3 linked regions of the Tribolium castaneum genome follow. The protein of the gene in region 3 binds, or shares a complex with, the protein of the main gene of each other region. Links are inferred from orthologs where the notes say so. Each region holds a gene or a part of one and is shown on either strand. Other genes may lie near its edges. The genes, in order: GAA1, PIG-U and PIG-T.

Evidence for each region.
Region 1: the proteins of PIG-T (region 3) and GAA1 are in contact, whole or in part, in a cryo-EM structure (PDB 7W72), measured with the Homo sapiens proteins. The link is inferred for Tribolium castaneum from reciprocal best matches to the Homo sapiens genes PIGT and GPAA1. Residues at the interface, in NP_057021.2 of Homo sapiens: Gln91, Gly92, Phe93, Arg95, Arg97, Tyr98, Ser108, Phe211, His212, Thr213, Ser214, Asp247, Phe249, Ile250, Arg340, Gln355, Tyr357, Val358, Ser359, Gly360, Tyr361, Gly362, Leu363, Leu371, Tyr373, Lys441, Asp459, Pro460, Asn461, His462; in NP_003792.1 of Homo sapiens: Arg97, Ser98, Val99, Gly100, Glu102, Tyr104, Arg134, Ala135, Pro136, Arg137, Ala138, Ala139, Ser140, Thr141, Glu142, Arg171, Gly172, Gln173, Ile174, Tyr199, His200, Asp201, Val202, Leu212, Gln213, Gly214, Arg215, Ala218, Arg311, Tyr312.
Region 2: the proteins of PIG-T (region 3) and PIG-U are in contact, whole or in part, in a cryo-EM structure (PDB 8IMX), measured with the Homo sapiens proteins. The link is inferred for Tribolium castaneum from reciprocal best matches to the Homo sapiens genes PIGT and PIGU. Residues at the interface, in NP_057021.2 of Homo sapiens: Tyr361, Gly362, Leu363, Gln364, Lys365, Arg394, Leu395, Tyr396, Val397, His398, Tyr416, Pro418, Ala419, Gln420, Asp421, Arg422, Gln445, Glu447, Leu450, Leu451, Lys452, Trp453, Thr454, Pro518, Thr519, Pro520, Asp521, Phe522, Ser523, Met524; in NP_536724.1 of Homo sapiens: Glu30, Lys42, Arg43, Val45, Glu46, Ser49, Leu50, Leu53, Val55, Ser59, Gly60, Ala61, Val62, Pro265, Asp266, Leu267, Pro269, Leu273, Trp275, Tyr276, Phe277, Phe278, Ala279, Glu280, Met281, Phe282, Glu283, Phe289, Phe293, Asn296.

The regions. Positions count from the first base shown.
Region 1 is NC_087396.1:13,607,484-13,613,975, forward strand, and holds GAA1 (glycosylphosphatidylinositol anchor attachment 1 protein), read right to left. Parts: upstream 4,325-6,492; 5' UTR 4,169-4,324; coding exon 3,809-4,168; intron 3,759-3,808; coding exon 3,599-3,758; intron 3,212-3,598; coding exon 2,817-3,211; intron 2,770-2,816; coding exon 2,556-2,769; intron 2,392-2,555; coding exon 1,511-2,391; 3' UTR 1,476-1,510; downstream 1-1,475. Other genes in the region: zinc finger protein PLAG1, read right to left, coding at 5,461-6,492. UniProt on the Homo sapiens protein: Component of the glycosylphosphatidylinositol-anchor (GPI-anchor) transamidase (GPI-T) complex that catalyzes the formation of the linkage between a proprotein and a GPI-anchor and participates in GPI anchored protein biosynthesis. Binds GPI-anchor.
Region 2 is NC_087396.1:9,927,626-9,933,478, reverse strand, and holds PIG-U (phosphatidylinositol glycan anchor biosynthesis class U protein), read right to left. Parts: upstream 3,151-5,853; 5' UTR 2,979-3,150; coding exon 1,650-2,978; 3' UTR 1,604-1,649; downstream 1-1,603. UniProt on the Homo sapiens protein: Component of the glycosylphosphatidylinositol-anchor (GPI-anchor) transamidase (GPI-T) complex that catalyzes the formation of the linkage between a proprotein and a GPI-anchor and participates in GPI anchored protein biosynthesis.
Region 3 is NC_087398.1:2,634,014-2,640,329, reverse strand, and holds PIG-T (GPI transamidase component PIG-T), read right to left. Parts: upstream 3,808-6,316; 5' UTR 3,666-3,807; coding exon 3,497-3,665; intron 3,448-3,496; coding exon 3,114-3,447; intron 3,069-3,113; coding exon 1,865-3,068; 3' UTR 1,788-1,864; downstream 1-1,787. Other genes in the region: CD109 antigen, read left to right, coding at 4-223, 269-975, 1,024-1,307, 1,357-1,559. UniProt on the Homo sapiens protein: Component of the glycosylphosphatidylinositol-anchor (GPI-anchor) transamidase (GPI-T) complex that catalyzes the formation of the linkage between a proprotein and a GPI-anchor and participates in GPI anchored protein biosynthesis.

The sequences.
Region 1 (6,492 bases), on a different chromosome or scaffold from region 3:
TATTACAACTTCCACAACACTCTGGCATGTTATTTTTGTCTCACAGAGTTCCAAGCTGCATAATAAATGTTTACTTGACCAGACAGGAGATGAATGTAAATTGTGTTATCCTGGCACGTTGTTTGACGAAGATTTTTAAGATATTAACTAAAACTTAGCAACTTAAAACTGTTCAAGATTTTTAACTTTTTTTCTCTCCTTTGAGAAAAGAGTACGTTTTATTATGAATTTAGAAAAAACAGTATTTGATATTCTGCAAGTTGATTATTTTGGTTGTTTTAGAATTTTTGAGCGTTAAGTGGTACTTACTTTGTTAGGACTAAATATCGATGCGTCTCATAATACTTTTCCCTCGACAACTGTCGCAATATAATTAATATAATATAAATATAATTAATTGTTCAAATAACAAATTACGCAAAAAAACATTGAAAAAGATTTTATGCATGTTACAGATGAATGGCGCATTTATCAGCTTTAACAGTTTATTAATATACATGAAAACTGACGCCAAAGGAAAAATCATGCCGCAATAATGAAAATTTCAAAACTGATTGCTTTATTTCTCCTGGTAGTAAATTTTTTATTAATAATTCTTATGTATTTTTCACAATTTTTTATTTATGGTCAGTTTAATTTTATTTATTAGTTTGTTGTTTGCCGTTGGCGCAAAAAGACGCCGCATAAACTAGTTAAATAAAATAAAAATCAACATTTTCTACGTACATTACTAGGTGAAGTGAACAGTGCATGTTTTGGAGTTCTCAATAGACATGTAGTCTAATATTAATAAGTATACGATTTTTTATTTTTGTGCAAAACCTCATTTTTAGAAATTACACTAATTTATAAAGTTTTCAATAAAAAAGCTTTAAAAATATAATGAGAATATGTATTTAACGGTTGAAGTGAAAATTAATGTGTTATAAACAAAAAATACTTTTATTTGTAAAGAACAATTGCAGGTTTTGCATTTTTGAAATGAATATATTTATTGTTTTTCTGGTTATCGCCAAAGTAGTGCGTGAATGTGATTTTCAAGAACATTTTTATAACATATTGGATAAGTATTTTAATTATCATTTGCATTGCGAATTAATCCCTTAATTAAAACAAACCTGTTTGAATAAACATTATGTTCAGAATTATTAGTGTTTATATGCGGTAAATTTTTCAGAAAATAAATATTTCGACCAATACCGGTACTAATTAGCGGCAAATTGTTTTTCGTTTTTCTAAACAAACAAATCTCATTCTTTCTAACAAAAAAAATCGATTTGGCATAGTTGAAAACAGCTCCCCACTCCTGCCGGTGAAAGCGGAAAAATTAATCTTAAACAGCCGAATTCCCTCATTTGCTGCAAGTGAAATGTGTCAAGGTTCAACCTTTTATAAAGTTTGCTTCCCAATTTTCCACCCAGAACTTAATAAAACGGTTGAAAGGTTTAATGGAGTGTATAATCTCAAACAAGTGATTAAAAATCCAACACTTTATTAAAAAAAAGTACATTTAATCGATTTTCTTCTTTGGAATGTCCTGCGGCACTTTCGCAAACGCAACGATCCAGAAACACAACCAGTTGGAAATAAAAACACTAGTAACGACGCTAAAGAGCCAATTTCCATAAATCATAGAATCCACTATACTGAAAACGATTGCCTGTTGAGTCGCCGCTACGCCCCTATGAAAATTATCTTCGAATTTTTCACCGGGGAACATGAAAAATGTGTATACTAACACGGTAGCGGTAAGCACGACTAGAGGATGTGCCAGCAACCACACAATTTTTTTGATGGCAGAGCATAGCCTACACCGCGTAATCCCGATAATTAGAGCCAACGGTACATAAATAATGGCGCAAAATAATGCCAGAGAAAAATTATTCATGGAAACGCAAATTAAAGTTGTGCCTAATTCCAAAAGCGATAAAATATTTAACACCGACATACTCTTCTCGCAAGCTTTGAAGGGGATAAAAAGCGGCATTGTTAGCAACACCACAGATATGGCTATAAACCCGTAAAACAAAGACGCATCGGTTGAGTAATTATATTGGCCACCTAGCGTCGTTAATAGCTGAGGGCTGTTCATAATCAATACCCCCAGAACATGAGACATTAGAAATACGCAAAGGATTGAAATAAAGTTAACGGAATCGGGATCTGGAGGGTTGTGAGTTTGAATTTCGGTCTGGAATCGCGTTTCCATTTCTTTCCAATAATTTTTCGAATCGCGCGGTTTCACGCTGCTCTTGACTTGTTTTTTCGTCTCGGGGGTTTTTGTCTTCTCGTCTTCCGTCTCCGCTTGGTTCTCCTGAAGTTGGCACCAATTGGCGCATGCTTTGATGAAGAGAGCCCCCGCAATCAAACAGATAGCAGGCATGTATAGCCCTAAGTTCAGATGTTTATTAGACCCCTTATTTTTGTACAAAGTGATCAAAATTCAATGTGATATCACGTTTACACTAGGGCCAACTAAAAATAACTACTGCCAACACAAACAATTACTTTTGACCACTTTGTATAAAAAAAATTGTGCAAAAAAAGTTATTTACCAATTGAAATAAATCTCTCTGATGAAGGTAACAAGTAGAAGAAAAAGCTTTGATGGAAACGCTCTAAAAGGTTATTCAAGCTACGGAATATCCCTTCAATAATGCGGCCCACAATTGGGAATCCGGCTTTATTGCCCCCTTTTAAGGGGGTGCTTTCAAGAGTCAGGGCTTCTATGCCAAAACGGTGATAAAGGCCATGATTTCCATTTGGTATCTAAAATTTTTTACTTAAAATTTTCTCACACAATAAGTGATGTGTACCCCGGTAGCCTGAGTTGAAATCATGGCTAATAAAGTCTGGAATGAGTAAAACCAGTCGTTTACGGGATCTTTCAAGTGTTTGTTGGGCCTGTTTTTAAAAGTATGCGGTACTCCCTCTTTGAGCAGCATTTTAGCGGCTAAGTTAAACAAATCCAAGTTGGGCAGTTGACCATTTAAACCTTCAATTTTGATATCCACTTGGCTAATTGCCGTTTCGTGCAATTCTAAATTAATAGCGGCTTGTATGGCACCTGCACGTCCCTTAATGTCACCATGGTCTAAAGTACCGTCATTGCCACAGGCTACTCCATGGTAGGCTTCCAGCCAAGCTTGCATTCCTAACTGCTCGTGTTCAGTAATTAAAAATATAATATCCTTGGCCCAATATTTCTCTCCTAGAAGAATATCCTGAAGGACAAATGCATACACAAGTACACAAGTGTCTAGAAAAAAACGCCAAAAATTTGAAGGAGCGATGCCGTAGGAATTCCTAGACTAAGGACTCCCACACATTAATTTATTCATGATACTACATGTACTACATGTAGATTTTCTAAACCAAAAAAAAATAAATAAAAAATAGTACGACAGAGTAAAATTAATCTAAATCTAACTCGTGTCTTAATAGTCATCATTGCAATGCTCGTTGATTTAATTTTAATAATTTTATAAAAATTTAAAACATGGGTACCCATTAGAGATTTTTCCGATATTAATTTAAAAAACCACCCCCTCATAACTTTTGCGTTTTTCCCCGCACCCTGAACAATAAATCGACATACTATTGGCAAACTTGGCAAATGCCAACATTATGGCAATGGAAGGTGCGGTGGTGGCGTGGACGCTCAAAGGGGGTCTATATGGCACACTTAAGACTAAAGCTTCAGTGCTGGAAGCCCGTGCCGCTCGTAAAATACCATAAACGTTTTTACCAACAAATTTCTAAAAAAACATTAAATATTCAACCGCCAAGTTTTGTTAGAAGTAATTACTTGGGGTTTTCCCAGCGGATAATTCAGTGTAAAGTTGTGAGTGTAGGTATCTAATCCAATTTGCTTCATTTTGGCTAAAAGCCAGGGATACGGAATGGAGTCTTCGTATTTCTTCATTTCGTCCAAAAGCTCGCTGTGGTAAGTTTTTGCGATTGCGTCTTCCCGAAACTCTGATTTGACGAGTCCTGGCAAAAGGGCGTTTTCGGAAAAATACGTCCCTGCGTTCATGGGGGTGTACGCAAGGGAACAGAACCAACCGATTCCGCCTATGTATAGCAAGACACATAGTTTTGTGTAATATTTAAGAAGGGCTTTGGTTAGTTTTCCCTGACCGGCACTGGGATCTGTTAGCAAACCCATCGTGACTTAAACTTTATCCAAAAAAGAGCTGGAATTGAAACTTCACAGTCAAAATTAGCCACTAATTACATTACAGGAGCCGTTTAGATAATTTTTGTTTACATTAACATAACCTTAGAGTAGATAACTTGACGTTTGGTTGCTACCAACGCAACTGTCTAAAAAAACACCAGCGGTTTAAAACTGCCCGCCTTTGAAGCCACAAACGAAGTGGCCAAGATAAAGGGGTAATTTTAAAATAAACTCGGATGTGAATATATAAATAATACTATAATTTCATGTATAAAAATAAAATGTACATATTTTAAAATAGACTCATATGAATAATTATATACATTGGTAAAATATATTACTTTTTATAATATACAGTATGTATAAAAAACTATGTTTTAACATCATACAGATAGACTTACAACTATGACTAGCTGATTGTACAGCAATGAATTGTTGCAAAATGAGGTAGATTATTTCATTAGTATCGGAAAATGTAAACTGAAAGAATTAGTGTGTCATTGACTTTTGGCTACGTTGGATATCACACCTGTTTCATAATAAATTAAATTTAATTTAGCCACGAGTCAATGAAATTTCCAATTTTGTACTTGATCGTGTTAAGTGGTGAAAGTACTTTTTACAGATATGCTTGATTGGTAAAATTTAACAATAGAAAATATCTAATAATTCTCATAGCATAACAATAATATACAATAATTGTCAATTGTTTTCAGATGGATTTTAGCACCAGTGGTAAATAACTTTGGAAACAATTTAACAAATAAATATAAATTTACAACACAACATATTAAGTGTTTCTCAGATCAAATTATGCCTAATATCGTTATAACAATTGCACGTAGCATACAATTCAATTATCCCGTTCCACGTAAGTACTCCTTTTCTTCTCAACCGATTATGTGAAACTCTATTGTAACATAATTTTGAGTAAAAGTCAAACAGCTGTGCAATTGTCGAAACAAACGTAAAATAATTTAGCAACATAAACAATATTTTTGTAAAATCTCAATAACGTTATTAATTTTTGGCAATATTCACACGTTAATGAGCTGCCTAAATGAATAAAGAAGACGAGAACAATTTTAGCAAGACTAGAACAATACATGTTTGAATCTGGTTACGTATCCTGGTAACTTTTTTGGAATTGGTGAAAATATTGCCAATCGAAAAAGGTTATAATTTCAGTTGGTAACTTAACATACCATACAATGATAATTTAGCTGTGTGCCACCTATTTTACGAACACAATTATGGTATGCATATCTTGTAGAAAGATATTACGGAGGAGGTGGAGGAGGAGGTTGAAAAGTTTGACTAAACCCGGGCAGAGGTAAATTTTTATCTTCCGACGGTTCTAGCAGTCTTTGTAATTCAGGATTATTTAAAACACTTTGACCTAGTATTTCCTCGTCAGGGTCAGTTAAACTCTCTCCTATCATCGAAGGTTCCCCAATTTCCTCCAAAATCGTGCTTCCCAAGTCTTTTAGTTCTTCCTGTGACTCCGGCGAGGGCAGAAACGTTAAATTCCCCTCCGTGTCCGGCTCCAAAAACCGCGTCAACGGATCGAAAGTCTCCTCTTGCAATATGCTACTCACATCTTCAAACGATAGATCAATTTGTTCGGGATTTGAAAGACTGCTTTCGAAAAATTCGGATTTGATCTCCGGGTCGGTTTTAATCACTAATTCTGGCTTGACGATCGTTTCTGGAATCTCACTTTTAATGGCAGTTTCGAAGTCTTCCGGCGGTACGTTTTTCGAATGTGACTTTTTAATGTGTCTAACTAGATGGTCCTTCCGGCCGAACCTCTGCGGACAGAACTGGCATAAAAAATCGCGCATGCCTGTGTGTACAACTAGGTGTCGTCTGACGTCCTTTTTCGTGAAGAACTTTCGGTCGCAGTGCTCGCAAGTGAACTTCTTTTCGTTCGGATTCTTGACGGTTCGGCTCCCGGCGTGAATCTTCAAATGGTAGAGGATCTCCTCTTTCGTTGAAAACACACTCGAACATATCTGGCACTGTAAGCTGCCCTCTTCGGCCGCGTGGAGCGCGAGGTGTTTTCGGTAGCTCATCAGCGACGTGTACTCCTTTTTGCAATCGGCTTTTTCACAAACGTACACCTTTTTACTGGGACTGTGGACCTTGATGTGGTTCTTAAGGTGGTCTTTCCTGTGAAAAGTCCGTTCACAAACTGTACAACTGAACGGTTTCCGGTCTGAGTGGATCAAGACGTGTCTAACTAACTTAAATTTTGAACTAAACGACTTCTTGCAGTGCTCGCATTTGAACGGCGACGTGCCCGAATGGAT
Region 2 (5,853 bases), on a different chromosome or scaffold from region 3:
GTTTATTCTGCTTGATTCTTGATAATTTTCTCGTGTCTTAAGCTGAATGAGGTTTGGAGTTGTATGTTGAATGAAGTTTGCAGGTTTGATTCAATCCGTGACGATTTTGTTTGATATAAAATGGGGATGAATCGAAATGTACCTCAAGCGGTATCAAAGATCGGCGATTTCGAGCTTAGGGCTTCCTCTTGTGAATTTGATTTAGATTAGGTTTTTCCCTGGTTGGTAATACAGAGAATTAACGATTTAATAAGGGTAAAACAATAGAAAAGTCCGCCATCTGGAATCAGCTTTCTCCCCTTGGAATTTGAGGAATGTGGTGTTTTTCAGGCCCTTGCTACCTGCTCTTTTGTTTCACATCCGGTGGTTGGGTAAAATCGTCTCTTCGAGGGTCGAAATGTGACGCAAAGAAGCTTCTCAACTTGTATTTTAAAACGTTGTGAGATTTTTGATGAAGAAAATAATTTAAATATTGAATGCTTGGCTCGTTAAATGGAAAAGAAAAAAAAAAAGAGAAAAAAAATTGTGCTGAAATGTTGGTTGCATAAGGTGTAAAGGCCCGAATGGTCTCAATTGAGTAGGCGTTTTTTCTTTCGGAGTGAGTTCAGTGATTGGTAAACTAGTACAAATTGAGGGAAAACTAATTAAATATTACTGTTCGAAACTTTATTATTTGATTCTTCAGCTTGATTAATTAATAAATATGTTAAAAAACTAACAAAGTCTACTCTAGTTATAAATTCAAATGACAATTGAGTATAAAATTTTGACTATCAAATTTGTGAATATAATTTGACAACTCAGTCTTTAATTATCACCCCAGGTATAATATGCAAATTTCGTAAGCTTGGATCTGGTAAATTTTACTTTTTAAGTTGGTTGCTGCTCAAAAATGTGTGTGTTTTGAGGTTATGTATTTAAAATAAAAAATGACGAAATTTGATTTAAAAAAAATTCTCCTTGATGAGGAAAGAAAAAAGATTTGGAAAGAATCAGTCGACCAGGAAGAATACGGAGAAAATGTGGAAATATTTGAAAAACTCCAGAAAAGAAATTTAGAAGTGGTCACGAAAAAGAATAAACGATTTGCGAGTAAACAAACAAGAAACGTGAGCAAAGAAGGAAAAATCAGTAAAAAAAAGGCCAAAAAGTGGAGAGAAGGAAACAGTGACACAAAATGTCCGGAAGTGTGTGTAAAAGAACTTCTTTTGCTTATTCATTGTTTAGAAAATAACACACTTATTACGAGAAAAGAGGCTCAAGATTGTATAGAACGTCAAAGTTCAGCATTTGACCTCTTCTGGGACTCACCAACACAGATCTTAAGACTTGTAAGAAAATGTGTTTTAACCCAAGAATGGTCAAAGATGACCTACCTTTTACTGGTGCTTTTAAATTTTGACAGGAAATACATTAATATTATTAAAAATGTAATGAATTGTACTTTTTATTACAATATTTATAACTACTTTAATTTCAGATGGTCAAAATTATGATCAAGTTTAATCCACTAATAAGGGAAAGTGGATTAGAAAACCAGTTCAAAATGTTAGTCGAATCATCAAACAAGTCTATAATTATATAATAAATAAATAAAACAATATTTGTACAAAAGTCTTATTTATTGTGGTTAACATCTAGATCACAAATCACTCTAAAATCAGCAAGGCGTCCTTTCCATCAATCTTCCTCTCCTTGCCATGATTCAAACAAAACTCGCGCTTCAAATACGCGAACAAAATATCAGTCACAAGAAAAATCTGTGCAATGGCAAAGGCCAAAGTGACTCCGAAATAAAAGTTCGCATTTGCGGAGTTTGAATAAATCCACAAATGCCACAAAATCGGACCCAAAGCTGTCGTAATAAGAAAAATCACCCCAACTAAAAATCCCTGCTGGGAGTAATTGAACAAGTGTATGAAACAGGGCAAAAGACTCAACACGAACCCAACATCGCCCAGACACGGATACGACTTAAAAACAGAAATCAGACACAAAATCGCGAACGTTAGCAAAAACGGGTCTTTGCGAAATTTGACCGACAGTGGAATTAAATACAAAACGGTTGCGTTTATTTGAAACGAGCTGATGAACAAGTCGCGAAAGTGGTCGAACATTTCGGTGAAAAAATACCAAAACAAGCCAATATTTGGCTGCAAGTCTGGAACTGTTAGAATGAAACCGTACACGTTTTTCATAAATGCGGTTCCGTTGCTTAAACCAATCGAAATGGTTATAAAAGCCGCAAGTGTGGCGATAAACAAAATCGGGGTGAGAATCGCCCGAAATTTGCTTTTGTAAATTCCGTTAGAGTACAAAAACAGTGGGATAATTAACACAATGGGGTAGAAAGACATCATTGTGCATATTGCCAGAGACAGTACACTCAAAATAACGCTACCGCTTAACATACAGAACAAAAACAAAGCGATGAAAAAATTATGGAACACGACAGTTGACTGTCCAACGCAGTTAAAAATCGTGTATGGATTAAACAGAAACGCCGATGCGACAAAAACGGGCGAATTGACGAAATCAGAGCCCGATAACAGGAACTCCTTACTGTTCAGAGCATATTGTTTTTTATTCTCTTCTTGTTCAATAAATAAGTGAAACATGTATTTCTTCGCGACGAAATACAATACCACGGCCGTTCCCGCATCAAAGGCGAGAAAAATAGTCTTAATGTCCAACTTCCACCACTGTGTCAACACTTTATAAAATAATATTGTTATCGGAGCTTCATGAAGTAAGTCCCCTTCGTATGGATTGATACCTTTGGACTGGAGACAAAGCCCTTCGGACACTCGCTTCCAGGAGTTCAGAGGTGTAGATATTTCGATGTGGTTCGCAATTATGGACTGATATCTCGAAAACATGAGCCAATACCGGATACCAAGCCCCGTCAAGTACATGAATAAAACGGTTCCGCCTTTGTAGCAGTCTTGCTCACATTTTTCGGTTTTCCCATGTGCCATTATTTTACACTTTTCAGGGGCAGTTTTCGGAAATATTGGCGATTACCGGCCCACTAAATAATTGAATAAAGTGAGGTTAGTATCGTGACAGGAACAGGAGTGACATTGTGGCTAAAGCAACGAGCAATACAAACATGAACTAATTTGTGCTAAAAGTAAATGGAATTACATTGGCACATTTTTATTACAGTTTGAATAAAACAAAACAATGTTTGATAAATTAATGGTTACTGTACAAAAAACGTGGTTTTGTCCGCCTATAAATTAGTCAATCATGAATACGCGCGACTTGTCTCCAAGTTTCAATGCTTTTCTTCTGGCCGTTCAAAATTCAGATTGTTTGCAAAATTTTGACTCGATTTGCACGAAATTTTGCTCAAAAATAATTAATTAAGCAGGAAAAAGTGCTACTAGTCGTTTAAGGTTGACTGCTTTTTTTTGGTAGGATTGGAAAATTTGAAAAACTAGGAATCATTAAACAGCGAAGACGGATTTTGAATGCTCAGACAATTTTATGCCAAACAGGTTTACTTTTGACATCAATTTTTGGTTTTTGTGATCGTGATTAATTTTTTGATTAGTAGATAAATTAGTATACAGGTGCTCAAAAACTGGCGCACCAACTCAGTGGTACGTTATTGATAAGCAAGTGCAGATTACGGGAAAAATATTGAAAAAATTCCTAAAGTTATATTTTAAAAAATCTGGAGCTACAAACTTATTGTGTTAACTTCTTTAGTTTTCATTATTTTTTTATGTTTTATGTTTCATACCAGGTAATCGTTCCGTAACAAAACGATGAATAATTATTTTTAAATTTACTATTAGATTTTAGCAGTTTTTTTAATTTAAAAAAATTAAAATTTATCCAAAAAATCACAATGTGTAGATGTGCCAACACTGGGAATTATTTCCTAGGAAACCGTTTCAAAAATAATTTATTTTTATTGTTGCTCAAATTCTATTGCGATTATGACTGTTAGACAACGTTGCCACATATCATTTATCTAAAATCCGTTATTTATCAATAACTTTAATACAAAGAATTTTTTTACTATTTTTACCTTTATATGTAACCAGTTCTCTATCACACACCATTGAGTTGGTGCGCCAGTTTTTGAGCACGCTGTAGAGGCAAATTTTTGTTTTATTCGAATTATTTGTACCACTTCGCTTAATTGCCACAAATTTTTACCTAAAATTAAATAGTTTTCTAGTAAAATGTGTTACAAGTTGTTTTAGATTAATTTCTATTTTTTTTTAGTAGAATGGAAAAATTTAAATTGGTAGTATTTCATCTAATCGTATCCTAAAACCACGTTCCTTACAACAAAAATAAGAAGAGATTTGGGATCTTTAAAGAATTCTACGCCAAATAAGCATATTTTAATTAAATTTTTGGTTATTATAATATTGTTATTTTTTATTAATAAATAGGTGAGTAAAATAAACAAAAATTTTGACCAAACTGTTTTATTCGGATTGTTTGCACAAGTTTGATTTAATAGACAATAAATTTTACTTAGAAATAGATAATAATTAATTACTTAGTTGAAAGTGCAACAAGTAGTTTTAGATCAATTTCTATTTTAAAAAATTATTTTTAACGTGAAAAATCGGAATCGACAGTATGTCGTATAATAATATCGTTCTAGACTACGAATTATGACAAAAATGAGAACTGCATTAAAAATTGAGAATCCTCAAACACATTTACGTCATATAGGCCAAATTAATTTTTAATCAATTTAAATTGACCTAATCAATTTCCGAGTGTTGTGGTTTTGATGATCTTTTTTTATTTGTTGATAATAATAAGTAGATAGAAATTTTGACCAAGTTGTTTTATTCGAATTATTTGTATTATTTTGACTTTATTGCCAAAAAGTGTTGTTTATAAATGGATAATTTAACTAGAGAAAGTGCAACAAACCAGTTCAGAGATTTGTTGGTCGTGTATTTTAACCAAGTTGTTTCGGATTATTTGCTCAAATACGACCTCGATTTGCCAAGAGATAGATAAAAAAAACTAAGTTAAAAATACTATAATTGGTTTTAGATCCAATTTAAAGTTTTCAAGGACGAAAATAACGTATTTAGCTCGTCGTTTTATAAGTAAGAAACATTTTTTTCACATTTTATTAAATTATAACTCAGTTTTCTTTAGAAATTTTGCCCAAATATTTTGAAAATAGAAAATTAATTAATTTTTTTTTGACTTGTTCGAGCATCGTAGAATGTTTTTTAGTTTTTAATTTTTTTTTCGATTCTGATCACAAGATCAGTGAAATGTGGAATAGTTTTAAAGCAAGTAGAAAGATAAATGTAAAAAATTTAAGTTTTAGAGAGAATATTACGGGTTTTTTAAATAATAATAGTAATTGCCTTTTATTGTGCCAATTACCAACAATTAGGGCGATGTTCAGATGATTGTATTTAATAGGACTTAATTAACTAACTTAATTAATTTCGATCCATTCCGCTGATTTTTCAGCAAATTCACCAAAATTTTTAAAAAGAAAGCTAAACTTACAAATTAACATTGCTTGTTTTCGGCTTGTTTTGCAAGCATTATTTAAGGGTTGTAATATAATTATTTTTAACCACATTTTCTGGGTTCTTGGTTCATTTTTGAAGAATTTTTTTTCAAAAACAATTTAATTTTAGAAAAATAAGTAAAATAGCAGCAATTTCGACTTGATTTAGTAATTTTTCAACAACTAGTTTTAACGAGATTGAAACAGTTTTTACTTTAGAAACTTGCATAGACACCTGAAAAAAGCAAAGTAACAATTTTTATAACAAAATTTTGCAAAATGATTTTATCTTCTGATTTAATTGCGTGAATTTTCAGATTTACTGAAAAACTGGAGAG
Region 3 (6,316 bases):
CAGGGTTACGGCTTATGTGGCTCTTACTTTAAGGCAAGCCAAAGGCCATATTTACGTTGACGAGAAAATTATCGAAGGTTGTCTCGAATGGTTGGCGAATATTCAGGGCCGGAATGGAAGTTTTGTCGAAGTGGGGTCAGTTATTTACAAGGAGATTCAGAGTCGGGAAGGCAATAGTTTAGCCTTGACGGCTTTTACTCTCTTGGCTTTTATCGAAAATCAGGTATTTTTCCCATTTTATGTTTGGTAATTTCATTTTTTTTTCCAGAAATATGCGTCCACTTATAGCAATACAATTAACAAAGGATTGGATTACATTGCACGGTACATTTCTGAACAAGAATCAATCCATACGATAGCTTTGTGTAGCTACACTCTTCAATTAGCCCGTCACCCGTCGAAACAAAGCGCTTTCAACTTGCTTGACCTCCGTTCAAAGAGCCGAGGCAACTTGAAATGGTGGTCTAAGGACGTCCCAAGTAACGAGATTAAAAATCCCTGGAACAAATTACCGCGTTCCATCGATATCGAGACTTCAGCCTACGGTCTTTTAACCTTCCTTGAGGCCAATTACTTCGAAGACGCAATCCCTGTCCTGAACTGGCTACTAGACCAGCAGAACAGTCTCGGAGGTTTCACCTCATCGCAGGACACTTTCGTGGGCCTTTGGGCCATTTATAAACTAGTCCTGAAGTTGGCAACTAACGTAAATATGCAAGTTGAGTTCACTTACGGCAAAGACCAGCGCCACAATTTCAACGTTAATAAAAACAACGCAATGATTGTGCAAAAACTCCAACTACCGAAAGACATACGTGAAGTAAACGTGACGGCTCAGGGCAAAGGCTTGGCCGTTTTTAGGGTCTCGTATGAGTATAATATGAACGTAACCGGGCCTTGGCCCATGTTTACGCTGGACCCACAAGTGGACAAAAACTCGAATAAGGACCACTTACAAGTGTCGATTTGCACAGGGTGAGTATCAAAGAAGTCAAAAAACTGGGATTAATTGAAAAATCGCAGATTTGTGAGTCGCAATTTGAGTGAAACCCCTGAAAGCAACATGGCAGTGATGGAAGTGAACCTCCCGTCGGGTTTCACCGCCGATATCGACTCCTTGCCAAGCCTGGAAGTGTCCCAAAATGTGCAAAAGGTCGAAACGAGCAACGGCCTGACTAGAGTCACCCTCTACTTTAACAACGTGTCAAGTGTAAACGAATACTGCCCGACAGTGTCCGCTTTTAGGACACATAAAGTCGCAAACCAAAAACCCGTCTCGGTTATTATTTTCGATTATTACGACAGTTGTAAGTTTAAGTTTGGTTTTAAATTTTTGGGCTCATTTTGTGTTGTTAGCGAGACGTGCCAGGCAATTTTACCGAAGCCGAACGTCAACTCTGTGTGATATATGCGAGGATGAGGACTGTGGTGATATTTGCACCTCAAAGGCGAACCCACAAGTCGGGGAGGACAGTCAGGAAGGCAAAGGCAGCTCGGCTGCTCTGCGTTCGAGTTGGTTGGGTTTCCTAGTTGTTATGTTTGCCATTGTGCAATTGTGATTGGTGCCGGCGGTACTTATTGACGAAACCTTTAACAAAATAATTCGCTAATACGTTCCTCAGTTTGGTAGAAAAATAGAATTGTTCTTGGTACAATTATAGTTATGTGTTACCAACTTTACCACGCAAGTGGTGAAAAGTGCGTCATAACATTTTACTAACACTACTAGTCACCGGTCTCAGTAACCCCTTAGTTGACTGAATTAAGGGTCAAGTGATAAACACAACTCCACTCTTGTTTTGTTTATTTTTATAAAAACTAGTCTTTGGATGTGAAAAAAAGATTACACTAATAAAATTCACAATTACTGAACACTTTGTTTCTCTTCACCTCCTCGCCTATCGGTCAAAACCTTGACGATCTTATTCTTGATTTTGACGATAAGTTTCTCGTTGTCTTTGACCGTCAAGACAAGTCTTTTGGTCGTGATGTTATGCAACGGACCGAAAGCTAAAGCAACTACGGTGCACGCTAAGCAGATTACGTTATAAGGCATACTAAAATCGGGCGTCGGTAACGTAATTACCATATTTTCGGTGCGAACTTGCACCAAGTAACCACTTCTCGAGGCATTGAAACTATCAGCGATCGTTGAGCCGTCTTGCGGCAAACCGGTAAAATTCCGCGCAAGCGGTAAATTAGCCGAAATTATTGCAGAGCCAATGTAAAAACCGTGATTGGCATCAGGTGGGTACTCTTGCCATTTTAGAAACACGTAATCAAAATCGACGGACACGGACGTAACGGAACGTGCCGGCAATTTCAACAGGAGTTCAAGGTGGTAAGGTCGCTCCCTTTGGCGGCCCGGAATGTAACGAATTTTCAACGGCTCGGCCTCCAAGCCGTTCACCTCAATTTTGAGCGTGTGGAGGTAAATAGGGACGTACCATGGTATATTTTGCAACACCACCACGTCCAAATGACTCCAATGGTTGTTGTAAATTTTGGTCACAATCCCTCCTCTCTCCTGGCCATAGCCCGTGATGTACTGATTGGCGTGGAGAGACGGGGGCGCGTTCAATAAAACACTCTCCTTGCCCAAAAAATTCGCATTCAAGCTCATGGCATACGGTCTAACTACGTATTTAGCGAAAGTGTTAACATGACCGCCACGAATCGACGTCACGTAATCGTCCGGACTTGGGGTTAATTGAAATGGAACACTGGTATTACTGGTGGTATCGATGTAAATTGTGCTGGTTTCGGCCAATGGGCACCGCCCCATCAACCCCTGACCGAATAATTTGCGAAACGACCAGTTTTTCGTTCCCAGAATTAAATAATCGTAAACAAGAGACACAGTTTGTTGCAGTTCTAACGACACGAACTCGCACGAACTGTCGCGACAAACCGGACGCATATGTATAGCCACTGAGTGATAGCGCGTGTTGTGAATATAACCTGAGTTTAGGAGCGAAGCTAAGCCGCTTTTCGATTCGCACGGTAACAGCTTCTTCCAAGGAGTCAGATTTTCCGTGCAGACGATTTCGCGCGGGAGACTCGAGTATCTGTAATAAAGTTAAAATAATTGTTTCCGAGGGGTGTGGAGTTACCTAACAAATGATGAATTTAAATTACTGCCTGAAAACACCCCTTTCGGCTTGAAAGTGTATTCGGGTCTAATACTGTTGGCCTTGTCTATAAAATTCAAGCTGGCGCACAACAAACCAGACAATGAGCTCGCCAGCAACTTCCAGTTCTGGTCCACATCTTCCGTGGTGTCCTTAAACCAAGCCCACACTTCAGCCCCAGGAGCAGCGTCCAAAATCGGGTAACCCCAAGTCTCATAGCGCCACAAGCCGCCAGTCAACGACACGTGGAGCTCCTGTACGTTGTATCTTTCGACTATTTCGCCGAGGGCGCGGGGGAAAATATGAGTGTGTCTGACTGTAATCACCACAATCAGGGATTATTTCACACGATTTTGATAGCTTACATGTTTCCTGTTCCGGATTTGTATCCCATTTGGTAGCAAAGTGGAAATGGACGTACAATTGGTCGCTGTACAGAGGCTTGATGAAAAGTTCTTCGGTGAATTTATCCGGTTTTGAGGTTAAGACACCGAATGGCGAAAATATTAGGACAAGTAGCGTGGGAAGGAACATGTCGCTATTTACATTTCCGTCCAAGGGCTATTATGAACGCAGTGTTACGCGGAAATCGCGTTTTTATTCATGTACAATCGACTTTTTGGCTATTTTTTAACCGACACTGACGTATCTTCACCATTTGTGAGTTAATTTTGACAATTGACGCTAAAGGCGGCCACACACTGACAGGGGATTCAAAATGAATTATTTCTCTTTGAAACTTTTTTTCCTCTACTATTATGTTAGATTAAGTTTGGGTCCGTAATAATATAAAATTTAATTAAGTCATTTAATTATTGCAAGTTTATAATTCACTCTGTGATTCCCTGAATAAGAACAAACTACATCTGATTGGTTTAATTTGGTCACGTGACCAATTAATCCGACTTTTGTGTCATTCAAAATGGCAGTTTTAAAGTGTCAAATGTAAAATTCCATTATGCCATGGCAAGAAAAAAATTGAAGCAGAAAAAGAAGAATAAACCGAAAAAGCCCAGTTTTCTTAATTGTTTTATTTGTTTAACAAACAGCGATGAATCCGATGATTCGGCAAGTTTGCCTGACAGACCTAAAGCTTCCAAAGCTCCAAAACAAGCCATAAAGCAGCTTCAATCCACATCTAAAATGTTGACTGCTCAACACGAAGTTTCGGTTACTTATCGGACCTCTTCATTCTTCGTGTTGAATCCTGAGACGGAGCCGCAAAATAAAGCACCCAACAATAACATGCTCTTGTCTCAGGCATATTTAGAAAAGCTGCAGAGTGATTCTAAAGAACCAGAAAAGAGTCCCCTTTCTGACAAAAAGTCTTCCATCAGTGTTGAAGATAGAGAGCAAAAAGACCAACTTGTGAAAACAATACTGAGCAAATATCTTCAAATAAAAAGACAAGAAATGTTAAACCGGGAACAAGACCATGTCCATCAATTTTCAAAACCTCCCCCGCCTCCGAAACATCCCCAGAAATTCAATTGCCTAAGGATGGACTGCTCGAGCGATAGTTCCGAAACTGTCCTTCTGGACACTGATCGTGAGGAAAGACCGAAAGCAGATTTTCCAACGAAGAGTAGAAGTGCCCCAACTACAAGCACAGCGCATGATAGTCTTGCTGATATTTGTTTTAAAATGAGTCGCTACAAACAACAAGACAACAAATCAGACAGTTACGTGACTTGTTGTAGCGAGGACAATGTAACTCCTCACAAAAAAAAGTTGGAGTTGATTTTCAATCACTCCTCTGACGAATTTTACTCTGTGGAAGATTCGCCCTTTGCTGTAGACTATGCAATAAGCTGTGAGGGCACCCCTGTTACTACAGGTACTCTCAAAGCAGATAATGCAGTAAGTTTCAACTCTGCGTTGCAGATTTGAATCACTGGCGGATTTTACTTGCAGTTGCAAAATGCTAAAGGGGAACAAAAATATGAAGGCGTGACGACGTGTCAAACTTTGACTCTGCAAGAGTTACATCTTAAACCGACAGTTAAAGATGAAGCAGACGATGTGAACAATTCTTCAACATCGCTCAAATGGAAATTAATTATATCACATCATGGCGATGAATAATTAATAAAAAACGTATTTTTTTCAAAAACTGTTTAATTATTTTGATTAGAAAGGTCCAGTGGGGGCAAGGATTGCGACGTTAAGACAAATTTATATTCATCGGTTTCGTGGAAAACGAAGAAATGATCGGCAACACTTGGCACACAAACACGCAATATTTGAATGAGGAAAAACATAACGACTGCCACCAGACAAACTCCGTAAATAATCATCAGTAGTATGTTTTCTTGCACATGTAGATCTATCAAAATTCGTGGATAATAAAAATTATTTGCGGTAAAATTAAGACTGACTACTGCAATACTCATCGTATAATTTCGGCGTACCGCAGTTACAATTGCCGTCACATTCCAGAAGTTTATGAATGCAGAAAACTTGGCCCTTCAATATGCAAACAATCTCGTTTGACGAACAGTTACCAGAAGTGCCCAAAACTTGAAACATTTATTTATTTTTCTTCGATAAAAGCACCAAAAATACATTTTCCTGAAGTTGCTGTTACTTTAATCGTTCCAAAAAAATCCCAAAAGTCAATTTTAATTGAAAAGTTTCTGTCACGGACCACATAAGCATGCATTCGATGTTGCAGTTCATTTTTAGTCTGATTTGGATTACTATCCAAATCTGCACAAACATCTCCGAATTGTAGACTGCCAGAAACCTACTTTTGTGATTAACTTTTGAACAAATCACCCAACTTTACCATAAATACGCCCCCGTTCATGGTACACGTATTGTACGTTTTATAATTGAAAAATTCCACCACCACTATGGTCATACATTTATCACCACAGCTCTTTTGGAACTGTGGTCTGATAATATCAATGGTGCAATTTCTGGTGTAGGATGGGACAGGTCGCAGTAAAACGATGCGGGCGTCTGAAGACCCCGTCCCATAAGGTAAATGGATGCTTGTGTAATAATTGTTTACACAATCTTCGGTCAAATCTACAAAAAGTGTTATGAACCGATTTTTTATATCATTTACCGATGATTAGTTTGTTGAGATTATTGCTAAATACACTGCCTAGGATCACGTGGATCAGTCCGGCAAATAAAACTGCGGTTTTTGCCAGTGGCATAACTTTGACAATTAACTA